2 linked regions of the Daphnia pulex genome follow. The protein of the gene in region 2 purifies or fractionates together with the protein of the main gene of each other region. This does not show direct contact. Links are inferred from orthologs where the notes say so. Each region holds a gene or a part of one and is shown on either strand. Other genes may lie near its edges.

The links.
Region 1: the proteins of cleavage and polyadenylation specificity factor 73-like (region 2) and pre-mRNA 3' end processing protein WDR33-like purify together in Homo sapiens (affinity purification with mass spectrometry; 5 studies listed by BioGRID and IntAct, with this or other methods). This does not show direct contact. The link is inferred for Daphnia pulex from reciprocal best matches to the Homo sapiens genes CPSF3 and WDR33.

The regions. Positions count from the first base shown.
Region 1 is NC_060018.1:834,230-842,196, reverse strand, and holds pre-mRNA 3' end processing protein WDR33-like, read left to right. Parts: upstream 1-1,391; 5' UTR 1,392-1,542; exon of another isoform or gene 1,543-1,717; intron 1,718-1,783; 5' UTR 1,784-1,809; coding exon 1,810-2,130; intron 2,131-2,281; coding exon 2,282-2,413; intron 2,414-2,490; coding exon 2,491-2,628; intron 2,629-2,713; coding exon 2,714-2,865; intron 2,866-3,359; coding exon 3,360-3,457; intron 3,458-3,522; coding exon 3,523-3,883; intron 3,884-3,958; coding exon 3,959-4,938; intron 4,939-4,997; coding exon 4,998-5,180; intron 5,181-5,246; coding exon 5,247-5,414; intron 5,415-5,477; coding exon 5,478-5,941; 3' UTR 5,942-6,055; downstream 6,056-7,967. Other genes in the region: uncharacterized protein LOC124188867, read left to right, coding at 33-280, 346-585; 4-trimethylaminobutyraldehyde dehydrogenase A-like, read right to left, coding at 6,129-6,348, 6,408-6,634, 6,701-6,889, 6,947-7,074, 7,147-7,246, 7,308-7,439, 7,504-7,800, 7,853-7,967. UniProt on the Homo sapiens protein: Essential for both cleavage and polyadenylation of pre-mRNA 3' ends.
Region 2 is NC_060024.1:9,770,843-9,780,594, reverse strand, and holds cleavage and polyadenylation specificity factor 73-like, read right to left. Parts: upstream 6,605-9,752; 5' UTR 6,538-6,604; coding exon 6,470-6,537; intron 6,395-6,469; coding exon 6,331-6,394; intron 6,249-6,330; coding exon 6,151-6,248; intron 6,083-6,150; coding exon 5,959-6,082; intron 5,897-5,958; coding exon 5,624-5,896; intron 5,558-5,623; coding exon 5,407-5,557; intron 5,342-5,406; coding exon 5,253-5,341; intron 5,187-5,252; coding exon 5,100-5,186; intron 5,029-5,099; coding exon 4,899-5,028; intron 4,830-4,898; coding exon 4,501-4,829; intron 4,437-4,500; coding exon 4,328-4,436; intron 4,262-4,327; coding exon 4,065-4,261; intron 4,004-4,064; coding exon 3,878-4,003; intron 3,821-3,877; coding exon 3,698-3,820; intron 3,643-3,697; coding exon 3,541-3,642; 3' UTR 3,495-3,540; downstream 1-3,494. Other genes in the region: 28S ribosomal protein S9, mitochondrial-like, read right to left, coding at 1-40, 102-227, 290-365, 473-558, 625-798, 880-983, 1,038-1,194, 1,259-1,309; 3-ketoacyl-CoA thiolase, mitochondrial-like, read left to right, coding at 1,753-2,020, 2,082-2,131, 2,199-2,366, 2,431-2,551, 2,619-2,719, 2,786-2,920, 2,976-3,247, 3,307-3,391; hemicentin-1-like, read right to left, coding at 8,856-9,040, 9,115-9,222, 9,304-9,456, 9,742-9,752. UniProt on the Homo sapiens protein: Component of the cleavage and polyadenylation specificity factor (CPSF) complex that plays a key role in pre-mRNA 3'-end formation, recognizing the AAUAAA signal sequence and interacting with poly(A) polymerase and other factors to bring about cleavage and poly(A) addition.

The sequences.
Region 1 (7,967 bases), on a different chromosome or scaffold from region 2:
TTAAATTTACCCGTTTTTCTATTCGATTTTAGTCGTAAAAACCAAAAGCCCAGCAGCATTAGTAAACTTAAATGCTCCCTTAAAGTTTGCGCCTCAAAATACGAATGCCAAAAAAAATCTGCCGGAACAAGAAAGTGATCAATTCAGAAAACAGCAGCAATCAACCAACACAGTGCCGGAATGGATTGCTCAAAGCGCGTTTATCTTATTCACGCTTGGTGTTGTCATGCTACTGGGAACCTTTTGTTACTGCTGCTTTTTTGCGCATCTCCTCAGACGCGTAAGCATAATGAAACATAATTTCTAATTGGATAACTTTGATAACCTTCCGTTCTCTGGCTGAAGCAGAATAAAGAAATCAAAACGGACCTACCGCCCAGCTACGAACAGCTTGTCAGAAATAGCTACGTCATCGTGCAACCTTCACTGCTAAATGACTATCATCTTGTAAAAGGCGACAAACCAGAGGAATCCTGTACCATCAATTTGGATTCCGATACAGGAGCGAACAACATTTCAGACATTTATAGATCTGACAACGACGAAGTTCGTTTACCGCTTAGATATGAAACGGAAACTGCGTGAGTAAAATCTATAACGAGTGGACAGATGAAGCTGGTGTTACTGTAATATCCAGCCTAACAACTTCTGTAAATATTGTATAAATACGTATATTTATTAACAACACTTTTCCCTAAAAAGAGTAAAAGCGTTTCTTTGAGCTAATTGCTGTGTGAATTAGCTCAAACTTTCTCTTGGCATGGAACTGTTATGTACATAATTCAAATAAACCGTTAAATTTTGTCGAACTGATTTCCTGTTTAAGGTGTTTCAGTTTTGTGTCGGGATTACAATTCGTCTTCGAACCGCACGACTTGCACGAAAAATAAAAATAAAAATAAAAAGATACAGGATAACGAGTTGACTTTAGAAACTCGTCTGGTCACCTTTGTTTGGATTGTTGAGGTGAACAGGTATTGATTATCAATAGTGCTATGTCCAATCTCGATACACGTTATCACATTTTTCTAACTCGTTGTTGTAATAAAAAAAAACGGATAATAGATCTGATCTAACATAAATAGAATCAGAAAAAATGATATAACATTATATTTGTTCTTCGAGAGTATCGAGACCGTAAACATACCGTCGGTTTATTATATAGTACCAAAAAGGATAACACGCAATCCCTTCTTTTCTTTTTTGAGTTTTTTCCTTTCAAGTTTCAACGATTACCGATTACGAACCATTCTTCAGCGCTATTTCAACGTAAAATTTGTGAATTTTTTGTTATTATTAAATTTTTTATCGTTATCAAATTATACTTTTCCCAGAATTATTTAAATTATTTATATTTTTTAAAATTTGGTTTATTGATTGATAATTTCAATCAATCGAATATTTGAATTTTATTGTTTTCTTCTTTCTGTCGGATCGAGAGATACCTACGTTTGATATGGCAACTAGGCAATGCCTTATGCCGCAGCCAAACATTGCAAAATGGCGCTGAGCAGGCAACAGAACATCTCTTGAACATTTTAGGTGAGTGCATTTTTTATCGGGGATTTACAGACTTATATCATCAGCGCCGATTGTCGGCATTGATCGAAAATTTAAATGTAAATTTTTAAGTACTTATTTCACTTAAAATCTGTGGAAATTGGGCGTTTTCATTTTCTGACGAAACAAGTAGTTGACGTGCGGTGTGCACATAACGGTTTCTCTCATGTTTACATAAACTTGTTCTTCAATTAACTAAAATTTTTTATTGTCTTTTTTTCAGCTATTTAACTAATTATTATCAGAAAAATGGCAACCCAAATGGCATATTATCCTGGTGCCAATGGCATGAATCAGTCACCATTTCAATCGAGGCATGCCACTGGCCCCAGCCAGAGCCCTGCAAATGCAGGAAATAATTCTTTCCTTGGAGCAGGATTACCTAGGATTGTTCCAGGAAGTGAACCATTGAGACCACCAATTCCACCTGGTCGCCACATGTTTCATCCCTTCAATAGACCATACCCTAAGCCTGGCCAAGATCGGTCAGACTATGATTCCAAACAGTTGCGCAAGAGCTCAATGCGCAAAACTGTAGATTATTACTCTTCAGTGATTCGTATGCTAGAGGTAAATTGAGAAGCTTGTAAATACAAGGATTGCCTTTCTTCTCTTGTAGTTAGAACATGTTTATATTTTTAATATTTCCTTTAATTTATATGTTCAGAGTTTTATCAAATACAATTTGTATTTATATAGTATTATCTTGACTTAAATTTAGACAAGAGTCTGGCAGCGGGACGCCAGAGACAGGCGAAGTCTTCAACCCGACGTGTGTTATTATCCAGAAATGGTTCCTCCCTCTTGCTATTTGGATACGCCCAGCAATGCCATAACAACACGTTTTACTAAAGTAATGCATTATAGATGGAAAGCCCGATTTTGAATTATTCTATTTATCTTTTTTTTTCTTTGAATTTACCTCGAAAGGTGGCAACAAATAAAATTCGTTGTCCAGTATTTTGCCTTACTTGGACTCCTGAAGGCCGTCGTTTAATCACAGGGGCATCAAGCGGCGAGTTTACCCTGTGGAACGGCCTGACGTTCAATTTTGAAACTATTTTACAGGTATGAAAAATCCGTAAATAGTACTCCTAAGAAATAACACGGTAACGAGTAATTATTAATCTAATCCTTCTTACCCTTTAAATAGGCTCACGACAGTCCGGTCCGTAGCATGGTATGGTCCCACAACGATATCTGGATGGTGACGGGGGACCATGGCGGCTACATCAAATACTGGCAGTCAAATATGAATAACGTCAAGATGTTTCAAGCTCACAAAGAAGCCATTCGGGGCATCAGGTATTGAAACCAAAACCAAACCAAAATAAAAATCAAATTTCATTGCTGTGATACGTATAACCTCCGAACTTTTCCCAATCTTTTCTTCTATAAATGCTCATTGCCCAATAATACAAGTACGCTTGAAAGTAAAAGAGAAAAAAAAAGAAAATCCTACATACCAAGAACAACTGATCTGTGATAGATGCAACTGAGGAAAATAAAAGAGACTTCTTTTTCAACCCTCTATACGATTTTGAAGTAAAACATTTTATACGATTCGTTTATGAAACTCTGCGCACCCGATATTGCCTAATTGCAATAGGCGTATACGAGATCGAAATACTTGTCGGGACTTACGGTTAACTTTTCAAATGACCCATACTTTTCTACCCCAATTAAACTTCTTTTATCCACAAAGTCAACATTTTCAATTAATCTACCTTGACGATTATAAAACCATTTTAAGGGTATTCAATTACAATTAAAGACCCTCCACGTTTTTGTGTATCCAGTTTTAGTCCAACGGATCAAAAATTGGCCTCTTGCTCCGACGATGGAACTGTGCGAATATGGGATTTTGTCCGCTGTCAGGAGGAAAAAATTCTTCGAGGTACCCAACTAATTGTTTTGTTTTTTCTGCAAGCCTACTTCATGTCCATCAATTGTTTCCATTAGGGCACGGAGCTGATGTCAAATGCGTCGATTGGCACCCGCAAAAGGGTCTAGTCATTTCAGGCAGCAAAGACAACCAGCAACCAGTCAAACTGTGGGATCCCAAATCTGGTCAATCATTAGCTACGCTGCACGCCCATAAAAGCACAGTTATGGACGCAAAATGGAACAAGAACGGCCAGTGGCTCATCACCGCTTCCAGAGATCATTTGATCAAGCTATTTGACATCCGTCGGCTTGATCAAGAATTGCAAACTTTCCGCGGTCACAAGAAGGAAGCATCCTGTCTTTCGTGGCATCCATTTCACGAAGAACTTTTCTGTAGCGGTGGATCTGACGGAGCTATATTCTTCTGGAACGTTGGGTAATTTTGTTTATTAAGTCGTGTATTTTTCAAACCTTACCCTAACTCTTTTTCTGTTTTGCTTTGAAAACATAGAACGGACAAAGAAGTTGGTGCTATCGATCAAGCTCATGAAAGTCTCATTTGGTCTCTTGCCTGGCATCCGATCGGACACATTCTCTGTTCGGGTTCGAATGACCACACGTCAAAGTTCTGGACACGAAACAGACCCGGCGATAAGATGAGGGACAAATACAATCTCAACACGTTACCGCCTGGAGTGATGCCCGAAGACGCCGAGTTGCTGGATGACCATCACGCTCCCAATATCCCAGGAATGGGACCCGAAGACAAAGTGGAAGCAGAAGGCGGAGACGGACAACTCGGTCAGAGTAGCCTCAGTTTATTAAGCGCAGGCATGATTCCTGGTCTGGATGTGGAACCATTAGCACAAGACGTGAAACCCATCAAGAAAGTTCCGTATGCCAAACCAATTCCACGTCACTTCCAGGCACAATGGAATGAGAGCAGTGCTAGTAAGAAACCAGCCATCTTACCCACTCCCAGCCTATCGTCAGCATCGGGTGTACTGTCTGATGAAGAGGATCACGTCCTTGGTGTTGATCCCGTTGCCTTTGGAATGGAACAGTTGGGTCGCGCATCTCTGACCCTGTTCGGCCTACCGGCTAATGATCCAGAGCAGTTGCAAGAATTGCTCGACACGGCTCAGTCGTTGCCTGTTACTCAACTTCCCACTCCGACAGCTGTCATAATCGATGGCACGATACTGTCCATCGAAGCCGATTCAGAGTTAGAGAAAGCCATTCGTACTGGCGAAGAAGAGTTTAATCAGGTTCTATCTTCGATGGGCTTGAAAGTTACTGTTGAGGAGGAGGAGACTAAACCCGAAGTAGTTCCAACTGGCGAGTACAATCAAGATCGAGAATTGGACGACGACGATTTCTATCCGCGCTCTCGAACACCTGTTCTTGACGACTCTCCGGGCTACAACAGGGGTCATTCAGGAATTGGTCCAACACCAACTGGTGGTCTTCTAGGAGACTTCCCTCAGAGAGGTAATTAATTTGCATAAATGATTGTTCTGCTGTTGGCACTGTACTAAATTATTGAATAGTTGTAGAGTTTCAACAGAGGGGCCACCCTGTTCAGCCCATCCGTCATCCGTTACCACCAGGAGCTGGGCAGCAACACCACCACCATCATTTACCGCAACAACAGCAACCGCAACAACAACAGCAGCAGCAACACAATCACCACCATAATCACGGAGGCTGGCAAGGCCAACCTCCACCTCAAGGTTTGATTGAAATAGTCGAAGAAAAATGACGCAACTTGAACTTATCTGTCGGTTATTTATTTTTAGAAATGGGAAATTGGGATCGCCCACCTTTCGAACCACAACAGCAACCAGATCGCTTTCCTCCGCGACCACCTCATAGTCAGGGTCCAATGAATAGACCCTACTTCCAGCCACCGCACCATCAGGACCGATTTAATCAAAGTGGACCTCCACTTCCACCTCCAGGCAGAGGTACGCTCATGGTTTTAAGTTTAAGTAATCTAATGCAAACTAATTATGCGGATGGAAAAACAGGGAGAGGTCATCACGGACCACCAGGTGGAAATCAAGCGTGGGGTGGTCCACCACCATCTATCGATAATGAAGAAGAACTGCATTATATGGGAAATGGAGGACCCCCAATGCAGCCCATTGAAGACGACATGCGGATGGAAGGCGGTTATCCGCCTCCCCCACCTCCACAAATGAGTGATCGGCATGGCGAAGGAAACTTTGGCGGTTGGGGTCCTGGTCCCAACAACTATCGAGGGGGTGGTGAACCTCCCGGCCCTTTTGAAAGAGGCGACGAGGATTACGGTGGTAGGGGACCACCACCAGGTCATTTCGCTCCAAGCTATCCTGGACAATTCCATCCACCACCACCGCATCATCAGCCTCCACCAGGCCGTTGGAATCCAGAAGGCGGAGGTGGACGGGGAGGTTTCGGGAGGGGTGGAGGTGGTCGGCGACCTCGAAGAGGAGGATATAACAACTATTGATGAAAGAATTTCAATGCGACTGATGGATGATTTTGTATCTCTTATTTTCTCGCCATTTTTTATAAAATGTGTACAAAATTGAAAATGAATAATGCTCGCCATGTTCACGACATACCAACTGACTAACTCTAGGACCAAACAAAATTCAAACACCAAAATAAAAGGTCAATCCTCGTTGGACGTTAGCCTATTTGGAATTGTACAAGGGGCAGTCTACATCATTCATTTCAACGTAGACTGACTTCAACTGAGTATAACATTGGATGGCTTCAGTACTGCATTCGACACCGATGCCACTCTGCTTGAACCCACCGAAAGGCAATTCGACTGGTGTGACGTTGAAGTTGTTCACCCAAATTGTACCAGATTGCAAACGGTCCGAAGTTCGGTGTGCTCTTCTCAGGTCTCTGTAAAAGTGTAATCGTTAAGTTTCACAGAAATGAGATTTATTTTAGGTAAACAATACTTTGTAAAAATGCCAGCACTCAATCCGTAAGGAGTTTGATTGGCTCGACGAATAACTTCTTCCTCGGTATCAAACGGCAAAATGGTAGCGACTGGTCCAAAAATTTCTTCTTTTACAACCGTCATGTCGTCATGGCAATTGGTTAGAATGCATGGGGAGATGAAATATCCATTTTGAAAAGGATCGGGCATTTGAATTCGTTCACCACCGCACAGTTTGATGGCTCCCTGTCAGTAAATTAGAAGCGCATTGAAATTAACCAAACTTTCATTTGTATTAGAACATCACTTTACCTCTTCAAGACCTCGCGCTATATAGGCAAGAACTTTTTCAGCATGCGGTTTAGAGATGGTTGCGCCAACTTGAGTTTTGTCGTCAAGGGGATCGCCTATAACTAGTTGAGAAGTAGCTTTTACAAACTCTTTGGTGAATTGTTCAATGATGGAGCGTTGAACAAATACACGAGAACCGTTCGAACAAACCTGGAGCAAAAATAAGTTTAAAACGAGTTCTTGATTGTTTTCTCTCAAGAAATATACCTGTCCTTGAGATAAAAAATTTGCAAGAAGAGCGCCTTTGACAGCGTTTTCAAGGTCGCAGTCGTCGTAGATAATTAGTGGATTCTTTCCACCAAGTTCTAGCATAACTCTCTTCAAGTCATTAGAAGCTAGAAATAAAAGATATTATTGATTGGATTTCAAAAACTTAATACTGAACTTTAGTCCAAAATCATACGTACCGAGCTTCAATATATTTTTCCCGACTGGGACAGATCCCGTAAAAGATATTTTTGCCACATCAGGATGGCAACAAAGATTTTTTCCGGTTTCACCTGAACCCTACGTAAAAAATTCAAAATAAAGAAAATATTGTCAGTTAATTGCTGTGATTTTTACATGCCTGGACCAGGTTGAAAACACCTTCGGGAATTCCAGCTTTGATTGCAAGTTCTGCCAAAGCTAAAGCTGTCAAAGGAGTGAGTTCTGATGGTTTGTAAACAATTGTATTTCCACAAGTCAAAGCAGGAGCCACCTGTTTTTATTTTCAACTCAAATAACTGAACATATTACTTTTATTGATATCAGATTGAACTTACTTTCCAGGAACATGTCTGTAGAGGATAATTCCAAGCACCTATGCCTCCTACAACCCCAAGGCTTTCTCTTTTCACCAATCCAAATGAACTGTTAGGAAGCTGAATGTGCTTCCCACTGACTGTGGAAGCAATCCCACCAAAGTACAGAAAACAATCAGCACAGCTTTGAATGTCCAACCTGGCCTCCCAGATAGGTTTCCCATTGTTTTCCACTTCTAGTTGAGCCAAGGTTTCCTGATTTTCTAATATCTTTTGTCCCAAACTAGATATAAGTTTTCCTCTTTCAAAACCTGATAACTTAGAAGAATTGTCAATAAACATGAATATGAAAATTATGGAAAAATAGTACCAAAGACCATGATTTGTAGGCTTCTTCACATGATTTGACTGCCTTGTCAACGGTATTTGCTCCTGAGACAGCTACTTTTGCTAGAACAACACTGGTTGCAGGATTCAAGACATTT
Region 2 (9,752 bases):
TGAACGTAGTAAACGGACGATTTGATTCATCACGCATCAACTGCAACAGGAAATCATTGTTTATTTACAAAATAATACAGCTTACTCACAGTTTATCTTACCTCAGGGATTTTTTGAATTTCAGTTTGCGCAGCTAGTTGATGTCGAAATTGCATAATGAAGTTTTTTTCCCTAACGGCATACCGGTGTTGAGCGAAGCGTTCCATCGTTTTAATCAAGTTAGAATACTATACCAAGAATAAATGAATAAACTTTCAGGCGTAAGTATTTCTCATAAAATATGCCTTACCTGTGAATCGGTTAAACTCTCAAGAAGAACACTCTCAAGACTTTCCTTTGATACCCAGTCAGTTCCAAAGAGAAACCTATATATTAAGAAGGACATTGAATTGAAAGAATTACCTTTAATCAGCATTTGATATGATACCAAATATTAGTAAGGTCAAAAAGTTTGTAAGATAATTTCACTTACAATTCACTCGACTGCTGATCTTGAATTCCTCTATATATCATTTTATCTTCATGGTTATCAAGCTGCTTGAATTTGACTGCTAAATCCTGGTGAATGGGAGAAAACAAATCATATCAGTTTCACACAGGTTAATGATCTAAAGGGTATGTTACATGCAGAAGGTTGTAATAGTTTGGTTTTGATGTGTAGAATAAGCTGTGAAAAGGTCTGCCATTCATATCAAATTCTGCTGCTTTCCGTTTGGGGTAAATTTCGTCAGGATGTTTCATCATTGGTCTTGCTCGTGGGTCGTACAGCCCAGATGGAAACAAATACCTGATAGCCTCCTAAATGTAGATGAAACAAAAGTTATAGCAAAGTTTTTTTTTATTACAAATTTCAAAAGATATTTTGAGTAATGATATTACATTAACATCATGCTGAGTGAAGAATTCAGGGTCTTTTCCCATCATGTTTGCCAAATGTCGTTTCCCAATATTATACTGGTGTAATTGCTCCTTGATGAAATTATCTAACAAATTCAGAGATAAACAAAATTCTATTAAGCAATAATTTAAATGTTTACCATGAATTTTTGCACGCTCCATGTATGATTTCATTGCTTTGCTCATCCGCTTCGTATCGCTCTCCTCAAAATCCAATTTCTGAACATTTGAACTTGCATTGTTGGGACTAAGAGATGAATATTGAAAAGCGGGAGAAGAACAAAAATAAGATCTAACCTAAATTATACAACATTAATAATTTCGTAGAATTTGTAATAAATCATATAATGGAAATATATACCCCCCGAAAGCACTTGGAGTTGAAAATCAACACTTCCCTTAGAGCAGCCATGTGTATCTTGTCTCTGGATTGTTTCTAAAGTAAAAAATATCGACTGGTTTGCACAAGCCCCGCCTTCATTTAGGAGAGACGGTTGTCAGACAACAACCATTTATTTTAAACAAATGTAATTTTTGGAGGTTAGTTTGGATTTGGAATTGGAATTTTTAAATTTCAGTTTTGTGTATGAATTTTTCTGTTTCGTGAAATTTAAAAATTACGAATTACAACTTACAAGTTACAACTTACAACTTTATGCCAACTAGGTCAACGCTAGTCTGCTACGATATCTCGTACTCGTTTACCATACCATATACGTCTTACTCATTGTATATAGACGTAAAAGACGTTATCAAAGTAGAATCGAATACTCTGCTTTCATAGTCGGTCAACCCTTAATAAGGTATCTACGTTTAATCTGCTATCTTCCGTTCTCAACCTAATTTTCGTTCAGAATGGCTTCATTAACACGCGGAATCTTCATCGTCGGTGCCAAGAGAACTCCGTTCGGTACTTTTGGAGGAAAATTGGCCGGCAAGACTTGCGTTGATTTGCAAGAAATTGCTGCCAAGGCTGCACTCTCTGCCGCCAAAGTCAATCCAGAGCTTGTAGATTCCGTTATTATTGGAAATGTCTTGAGTTGCTCTTCAGTGGATGCACCCTACATTTCTAGGCATGTTTCACTTCGATGTGGCATTCCTATTCCTACCCCAGCATTGACAGGTAAAATCAACATATTTTAATAGCATTTACACATTATTAACCAGACAAAAATTATTTCTAGTCAACCGTCTGTGTGGCTCTGGTTTCCAGTCAGTTATTAATGGCGCACATGTAACACAAATAATTCCACACCATAAAAATGACAGGAAATTTCATTCAATTGCATTTGGTATTACAGGATATTTTGATGGGAGATTCTCAAATTGTTTTGGCTGGTGGTTCAGATTCCATGAGCCAAGCTCCCTACGCTGTTAGAGGTATTCGCTTTGGAACCAAACTTGGAGTTGATATTAAGTTGGAAGACATGATGTGGGCTGCCCTAACTGACTTCCATTGCAAGACCCCTGTAATTATATTTCCTTTTGTTTGTTTGTTTCTTATCAGTTTTTTATTGTTGCAATTATTTTTAGATGGGAATTACTGCTGAGAATTTAGCTGAGAAATATAACATCACACGAGAAGAGGTTGACAAGTTTGCTCTCAGATCTCAGTTGAATTGGAAAGCTGCTCATGAAAATGGAAATTTCAAAGGTAATTAAAATTTGCATATCTCAGAATGTATACATAGATAATTTTATCTTTTTTTTTTATTTTACAGCTGAATTGGCTCCTGTATCTTTGGAAATTAAAAAGAAACCTGTTTCTTTTGACACTGATGAACATCCGCGCGTGCAAACTACCATGGAAATGTTGGCCAAGGTACTACAACTCCATAAAAGATATGATTCCAATGTTTCTATATCTAATTTCTGATACTTAAACTAGCTGCCTCCCGTCTTCAAGAAAAATGGAACTGTTACTGCTGGTACAGCATCAGGCATTTGTGATGGTGCTGGAGCCATCATATTGGCCAGCGAAGAAGCATGCAAACTTCATAATCTGACGCCATTGGCTCGTTTGGTATACAAAATCTTTACACTTTTAATGAATACATCATTAATTGTTTTATTTGTAGGTTGGTTATGGTATTGCTGGTGTTGAACCCACTATCATGGGAATCGGACCAGCACCTGCCATTCGTAAAGTATTGGCTAAAGCTAATTTGCAGCTGAAGGATATTGGTGCAGTTGAAATCAACGAAGCCTTCGCGGCTCAGACTATTGCTTGCCAACGTGAACTTGATTTGGATCCTGAAGTCCTTAACGTCAATGGTGGTGCCATCGCTCTTGGTCATCCTCTTGGAGCTTCCGGCTCGCGCATTACCGCGCATTTGGTTCACGAATTGGGGTAATTAATTTTCTTTGATGCGTTGAACCATATGCTAATTATTTTACTTTTATCATTAGACGTCGCAAACTGAAATATGCTATCGGATCGGCTTGTATTGGTGGTGGTCAAGGAGTAGCTCTTCTTCTTGAGGGCATGAATTAATCGGTTGTTACTTCGTGCGGGGCAATATTAGTGCGAAGACTTTGATTTTTAAGAAATCACAATCCAGTAACAATGCAAAAAATATATGGATGGATTATAAAAATACTTTAGCAGTTGTTTATTCTTCCATTATTAAATATCAATACAAGTTATTTTACTTTTTCTGCTTTTGGTGCCAAAGATTGATATAATTTAAGTACAGCCGTTTGAACCACTTGTTGAAATCCAACATCTTCAGGACATTCCACCTCCTTTAATAAAAAAGAATTTAGATTTTTATAAGAAAACGGTAATTTTAGACGTTACCAATGCTGTGAGATCTATATTGGCTCTTTTTCCGTCAACGGTAACAATGAATTTATCTCCTTTGAACATTTTTGGAACCGCATCATCTCCAAACATATCTTGAAGCATTTCTATCAAGCATTCCTATATAAATTCACACGTTTAGACCGATATTATTCTCAAACAAATAAAATTTAGTACCTTGAAGCGGGCATGATCAACAGTCGTGGGTAGCACAATCGTCCTCGAACCTTGAAGAGATTCGCACTTTAAGATAGCTGAAAGCACTGCGTCAGCGAACATGTCGTTCACAGAATCAGCCGCCCACTAAACAAATCAAATATTAAACATTAAAGAAGTGGTCTTCACAAATCATTAAGATGCGTACTTCTAATGTAACCAGAGTTTTATCAACAATGACATCAATGGCAGAGAAAAGGCGAAATGTTTTTAGTCCTTTGTCGCTCTCGATAACTTCGACGTCAGGCGAAACGTGAGACAGGACAGCTTGTAACGTTTGCAGATTCCCGCTGTAGTGGATACCCATCCTTTGAGTTACGCTGCTTACAGTCATGTCTGTGTATTCTGCAATTCAAAAAAATTGGGTACTAAAGTTATAGAAATTAAGACTTGAATAAAAATTGTTGGTACTCGAAATATCCGACGGCGCCACAATTTGGTATTTGAAGTTTCGTTTGACCAAGACACCAGAAATGATTTGGCCTTCGACTGGTTTTTCAAACGCCAGAGATCCCATCACCTAGACAACAAGGCGTTAGAATAAAATTCATTGGGTGAATCGCTTTTACGATTTTTTAAATTACTTTGGCCGTTTTTTCGCCCTTGAAATGGAGTTCTACTGCCGCAGTGTTACGTGGATTGTATATACGGATTTGAGTGTCTGGATCATGTTCATACTCTCGGATGAGCGCCGCTTTGAGTCGGTTCATCTCGTTGGCCTCGCCGTGAACCAAAACGACATGAGGTGGCTTCAGCAAACGAATAAATTCACTGGTCTGTTGGTAGTCAGTGTGAGCGGAGAATGAAATGTAGTCAACTGAAAGCTTCATTGGTAGCTTCTGGCCAGCCATGCTGGTAATATCTTCCGGTTCTGACAAAACATGTTTTGCCAATGTTCCTTCAACACAGTACCCTTTTACGACAACAAAAATAAACGTGAACAACTAATTATATAAAAATTAAAACATTTCTTTCCACTGACCTGCGATGATGCAACCGTTTTTAGGATCTGTGCACCAAGCTTCGAAGAGTTCGCGAGATAGACCACTCTGCATCATACCGGGAGAGGCCATAATTACACAAGGGCCAACGTCTTCGAACTGATCGATACCCTGGGGAATGACAATACATTGCGTTGAATAAAGGACCATTTTATAACAGGTTATTTCAAATATTATTGTACCTTGAGACTAGAGATGTGCTTGAAGATGAAAGGATTATTGATGGCAATCTGCCGCCGAATTTTGTCGTTCATGGCATTGATATAAGTCTGCAAGAATAGAGAACCAATTAAAGTTTGATGCGATCGCTGCGAGATTTTGAATTTGATTAGTACCTGGTACACGGCCATACACTTTTGTGCAAGCGACGAGGCATAGTAGATGGGAATCTCGTGAAGTTCGGGATGCAGGCTCCAATATTCATCTAAAAGCCAATTAAAACTGATTGGAAGTTTTCTTATGCAAAAAATTACTTCTAATACCTAATACCTAGAATGAGAAGCAATTCTTGTGCTCGACCCAGTGCAAAGACCGGGATCAGACATCTGCCACCTCTATTGACAATTTCGTGGATCAGACCTGTGAAACGGCTTTCTCGATCTTCGCGCTTCTCGTGGATGTGAGTTCCGTAAGTGGATTCCTTCGAGAATAAAACAGATTATCACATGGACATATTTCGCCTTGAAATACTTCAAGCTTAACTCACGGTGATTAGGATATCGGGTCGAACAGTAGGAATCTCAGCGGCCATCAAATGTCTGTCTTCCTGTCGGGAAAAGTCCCCAGTGTAAAGCACTTTCACGCCGGCAATTTCAATCATGAACATAGCGGCGCCCAGAACATGGCCTGCGTTGTAAGCCCAGAAACGAACTCCACCAACATCCTTCTCTTCGTGAAAGTTGATAACTTCAATCTTTTCCATGGATGCCTCCAGATCTGCCTCTGTGTAGAGCATTTGATCTGTGGAAATGTTGCTGACCTGTTGGAAATATTACTTGTGAGCACTGCATCGACTAAAACTCAAATGCCTTTTTTTCTTACTTTAATATAATCAGAGAGCAGCCAACGGTAAATTGCTTTTGTGGCATGTGTCATGAAGCACCGTCCCTTGAATGTTGTTTTCTGTAAAAACCATGGAAGTGCCCCACAGTGATCCAAATGGAAACTATTGAAAAATACAATTGTACATTAGCTATTGACAATAAAACTTAAGAAAACAAAACCAAAACTCACTGTGAAATGAGTAACAAGTCAATTTGATCTGCTTCAATCAAATCAACGAAAGGCAGTGCATCCATTCCCGATAAACCTGGATGAATTCCACAATCCAGCTAGAAAATGAAAAACATAATCAATGAAATGCCCACATTCAATGGCGATTCAACTCTGTACAACAAAAACACGTTTGTTTACCATGATTTTCTTGCCCTTGAATTCGAGCATGATACATGATCGACCAACTTCTTGTCCGGCTCCCCTGAAAAGTAATGTAATAAAAAACACCCGTGAATTTTCCAAATACAAATTAAAAGTCAATTGACATTATATTTACAATGGCCTAATAACCAATAAATCACTTTCTTCGGCCGGGACCTGTACGTCATTTTTACGTTTAGCCATTTTGTCTTTTGTTTTTCTTGGGTCTACAAGCTGTTGCCAGGTAAACTTTTATGTCCACTCCGCGAGTTGACACATCACATCCGCTTTCGCCTTTTTTACTTTGATAAAATCATAAAAATATTACGTAGTATACATTTATTAATTATGCAATCTACGCCGTGAAGTTTTATGGCATTTAGAATTTGATATATTTTTTCGGGGTCGATGATTTAAGATATTAACGGACTGACGGCGTTTTTACTATTCAATCTCGACTTTTTTGTCCACGGGTTTTAAAATTCGTGAAACTCTACTCGATTTGAGAAATGGTGGCATAAATAACCGATGATTATGCGTGGGAATGAAGCACCTGCACCGAAAGCTACACACGAGATGGTTTCAAGTCTCTGCCAAGAGTGGCGGAGTCTAAAAGAAGCAGCGATCCCAGATGAGGTAAAAATGTAGACCCAAAAAGCGACCGGCAAACTGTTCGTTCGTGAAATGTCAAGAAGATTCTCCTTTTATAACTTTTGATTATATCAACTTCACCATTTGGTCTTTCTGCAGTAACTCGTCAAGCTCGTACACACACACGGTGTAGCTATAGGTTGGGCCGAGTTTCCATGAAGTTTTACTAGGATGCATGTAACATGATTGTTTCATGAATCACGATTATGAACCTCCAGTGCATCGAGCACGGTATATGTGGGCCAGGTATACATATACATGTGTGTGTGTAAGCTATAAAGTTCACGTTTGTCTCCCTGCAGTTGACAATAAATTTTGGCGAAAAATATCCAGCGAAAAAACAAGACATTGAAACGCATTTCCTACGTGACAGCACATTATTCGCTGATACGGAAAACAATTGAACGTGGGAGCTGTGTCGAGTGTGGGTAGTTTTTTCCTATTAAATATCAAAGCGTCTTCATAATTTCTTAGTGCAAACGCACACACACACCCACACCTGCACACAGACACACGGTTGCGTGCAAGCAAGCAATCGCACCGCAGGCTCCGCGAGCGGATTTCTCGGCTGATTCTAATTGCATAACATTTGTCTGGCCGATTTGAGAGAGTCATCGCCGTCTTTATCGAACCTTGGCGCACATCCCTCCGGACAGAATAAACGTGTATATAAATAAACTTGCTGCTCTATTGGATAGACGTATATACAAGGAGAAGAAGGAACCTGTTCCGTTTCCCACTATTACGAATTCACCTGCCTTTAACGCGGCCGTCCGTCCGTCCGGAGATGCCTCGTGCCAGAAGACTGTCAGTCGGTTGTCATGGCGGCGTATAGATGTGAACACACCTGTCCTTCTACACGAGATCACTATCATCCGCTCATCCGGAAATTAAAAGTTAAAAAAAAGTTTTTATCAAAAAGAACGTTCGAAATCGATTGGAAATTTCGAGGAAATTTCAAATCTTTGAAAAAGTGAACAAAACTGTCAACAGCATTGAAAGTGAATAATACAGTATAGCACGCATACGTCATCTCTCTGGCTGCCTTTTGGAGAGAGAGAGATTTCCAAAACGTTGGAGAGAGCCGATTCCGGATGATAATATTTTCCAGCCCCCCCCATATTTATATAAGCGGATTTGCCCAGTTTTGTCCACTTGGCGCCAGACACGAACACAAATCTAAATCTATCGATATCCAGCAGGACCATGTTGTAGTAGTTTTACTTGCTCATGTGCTGATCCGGCTTATTATATATTCGGGAATCTAAAAAAAAATAAATAAATAATTCGAAATAAAAGTAAAAACATTTGAGGCACGCTATAAGTCGCTTCACACACGCTTGTATTTTGAATCTATTTTCTTTTTATTTTTGCACAAAAACATATACACACATACACATTCACAAAAAAAAAGAACTTTCTTTCCTTTTTCTTCTTATAGTGTACTGAGTTTAGTATATTATATTTGATATTGATATTTATTACAGTCGGCAGACGATCGTGTTTGGGAGAAATCCATCGGCTTTTGTGCTCTACAATATGCCATGGGGGGGATTTGAATATAAATTGATTTTTAATTTATGTCTTTGGTAAAAATTCGCGGTCAATTCATTATGCACACAATAACATCTTCGAGGGACGAGTATATAGAGAGAGAGCGACATTGAAAGCACATGATCGTTTTTTTCCCCTTCAATTTAGTGTCATCAAGTCAAATTTAATAGATAGCATGTTCGATCAAGGATAAACGCAGGTAAAATAAATAATAATAATAACGAGGCCAAACGATGAGAAGAGCATATAAATATAATCGAGAGTCTGGGAGGGGGTTATTACATGGATGAAAAACGAGCTCTAGAAAAGGTGGAACACTATCTCGTTTTTGTCATCGAGACTAGGAGCAGAGAAATGGCCGCTAGCAGGTAACCGAGAGGAGGTGACTGCGAGGCTGCAACAGCAGATGAGCTGGACCGCCCGCCGACGGCCAATTGAGTCTTGGCGGAAGCCTGTTTATTGGCTGCCAATCTCTTGGTGGACGAGTCGTCCTTGGATTTCTCTGCGTACAACCAGACAACATTCATCGATCCTATTGTACAACCACAATAACATGTATATATATGTATTACTAACCATCCCAGGTGCTGCTAAGCTGTTCTTTTCCCGTTCCACGGCCGTCCTGCTGGTCGGCTTCCGAGTAAACTTCGTTCATGTCTCCATCGTCAGCCACCGGATGGATTTCTTCCCAATAAAAAAATCAAATAAAATTCTTGAATTGAACATTTTAAAAATAATAAAAATCGAAATTCAATCGAGACGTACGGTAAAGTCGGACGACCGAATCGGCAATGCCCAGCGTATTGCGACAGACGCACTGGTAGGCCATAAAGTCTTCGCGTTCCAGGTGGAGAAAGACGAGCTGCATGGAGACCTTGTAGTGGTTCGTCTCTCGCTTCTCCTCGCGATGTTTGACACCTAATCAAATATGAATTGCGTTTCACATATATACTGTCGGTCGGTCGGTCGGGGGGTCATACGACACACCCTCCTCCGCCCGGAATGATTTCTTGCAACGACAGAAGGTCTCATTCACATGTGACGTCAAAAACACAATGTCGTCAAAATTTATTTCCTCCCCAATCGAAATGGGGAGGAAATAAACGAACTACTAGCCAGATTTATGGACGTCTTAAATTGGAGAGTAGTAAGGCAGTTGCCATTTCTAAAATGTACGTCTGCATGTTGGTCTATATACGTTACCGTTGACGACG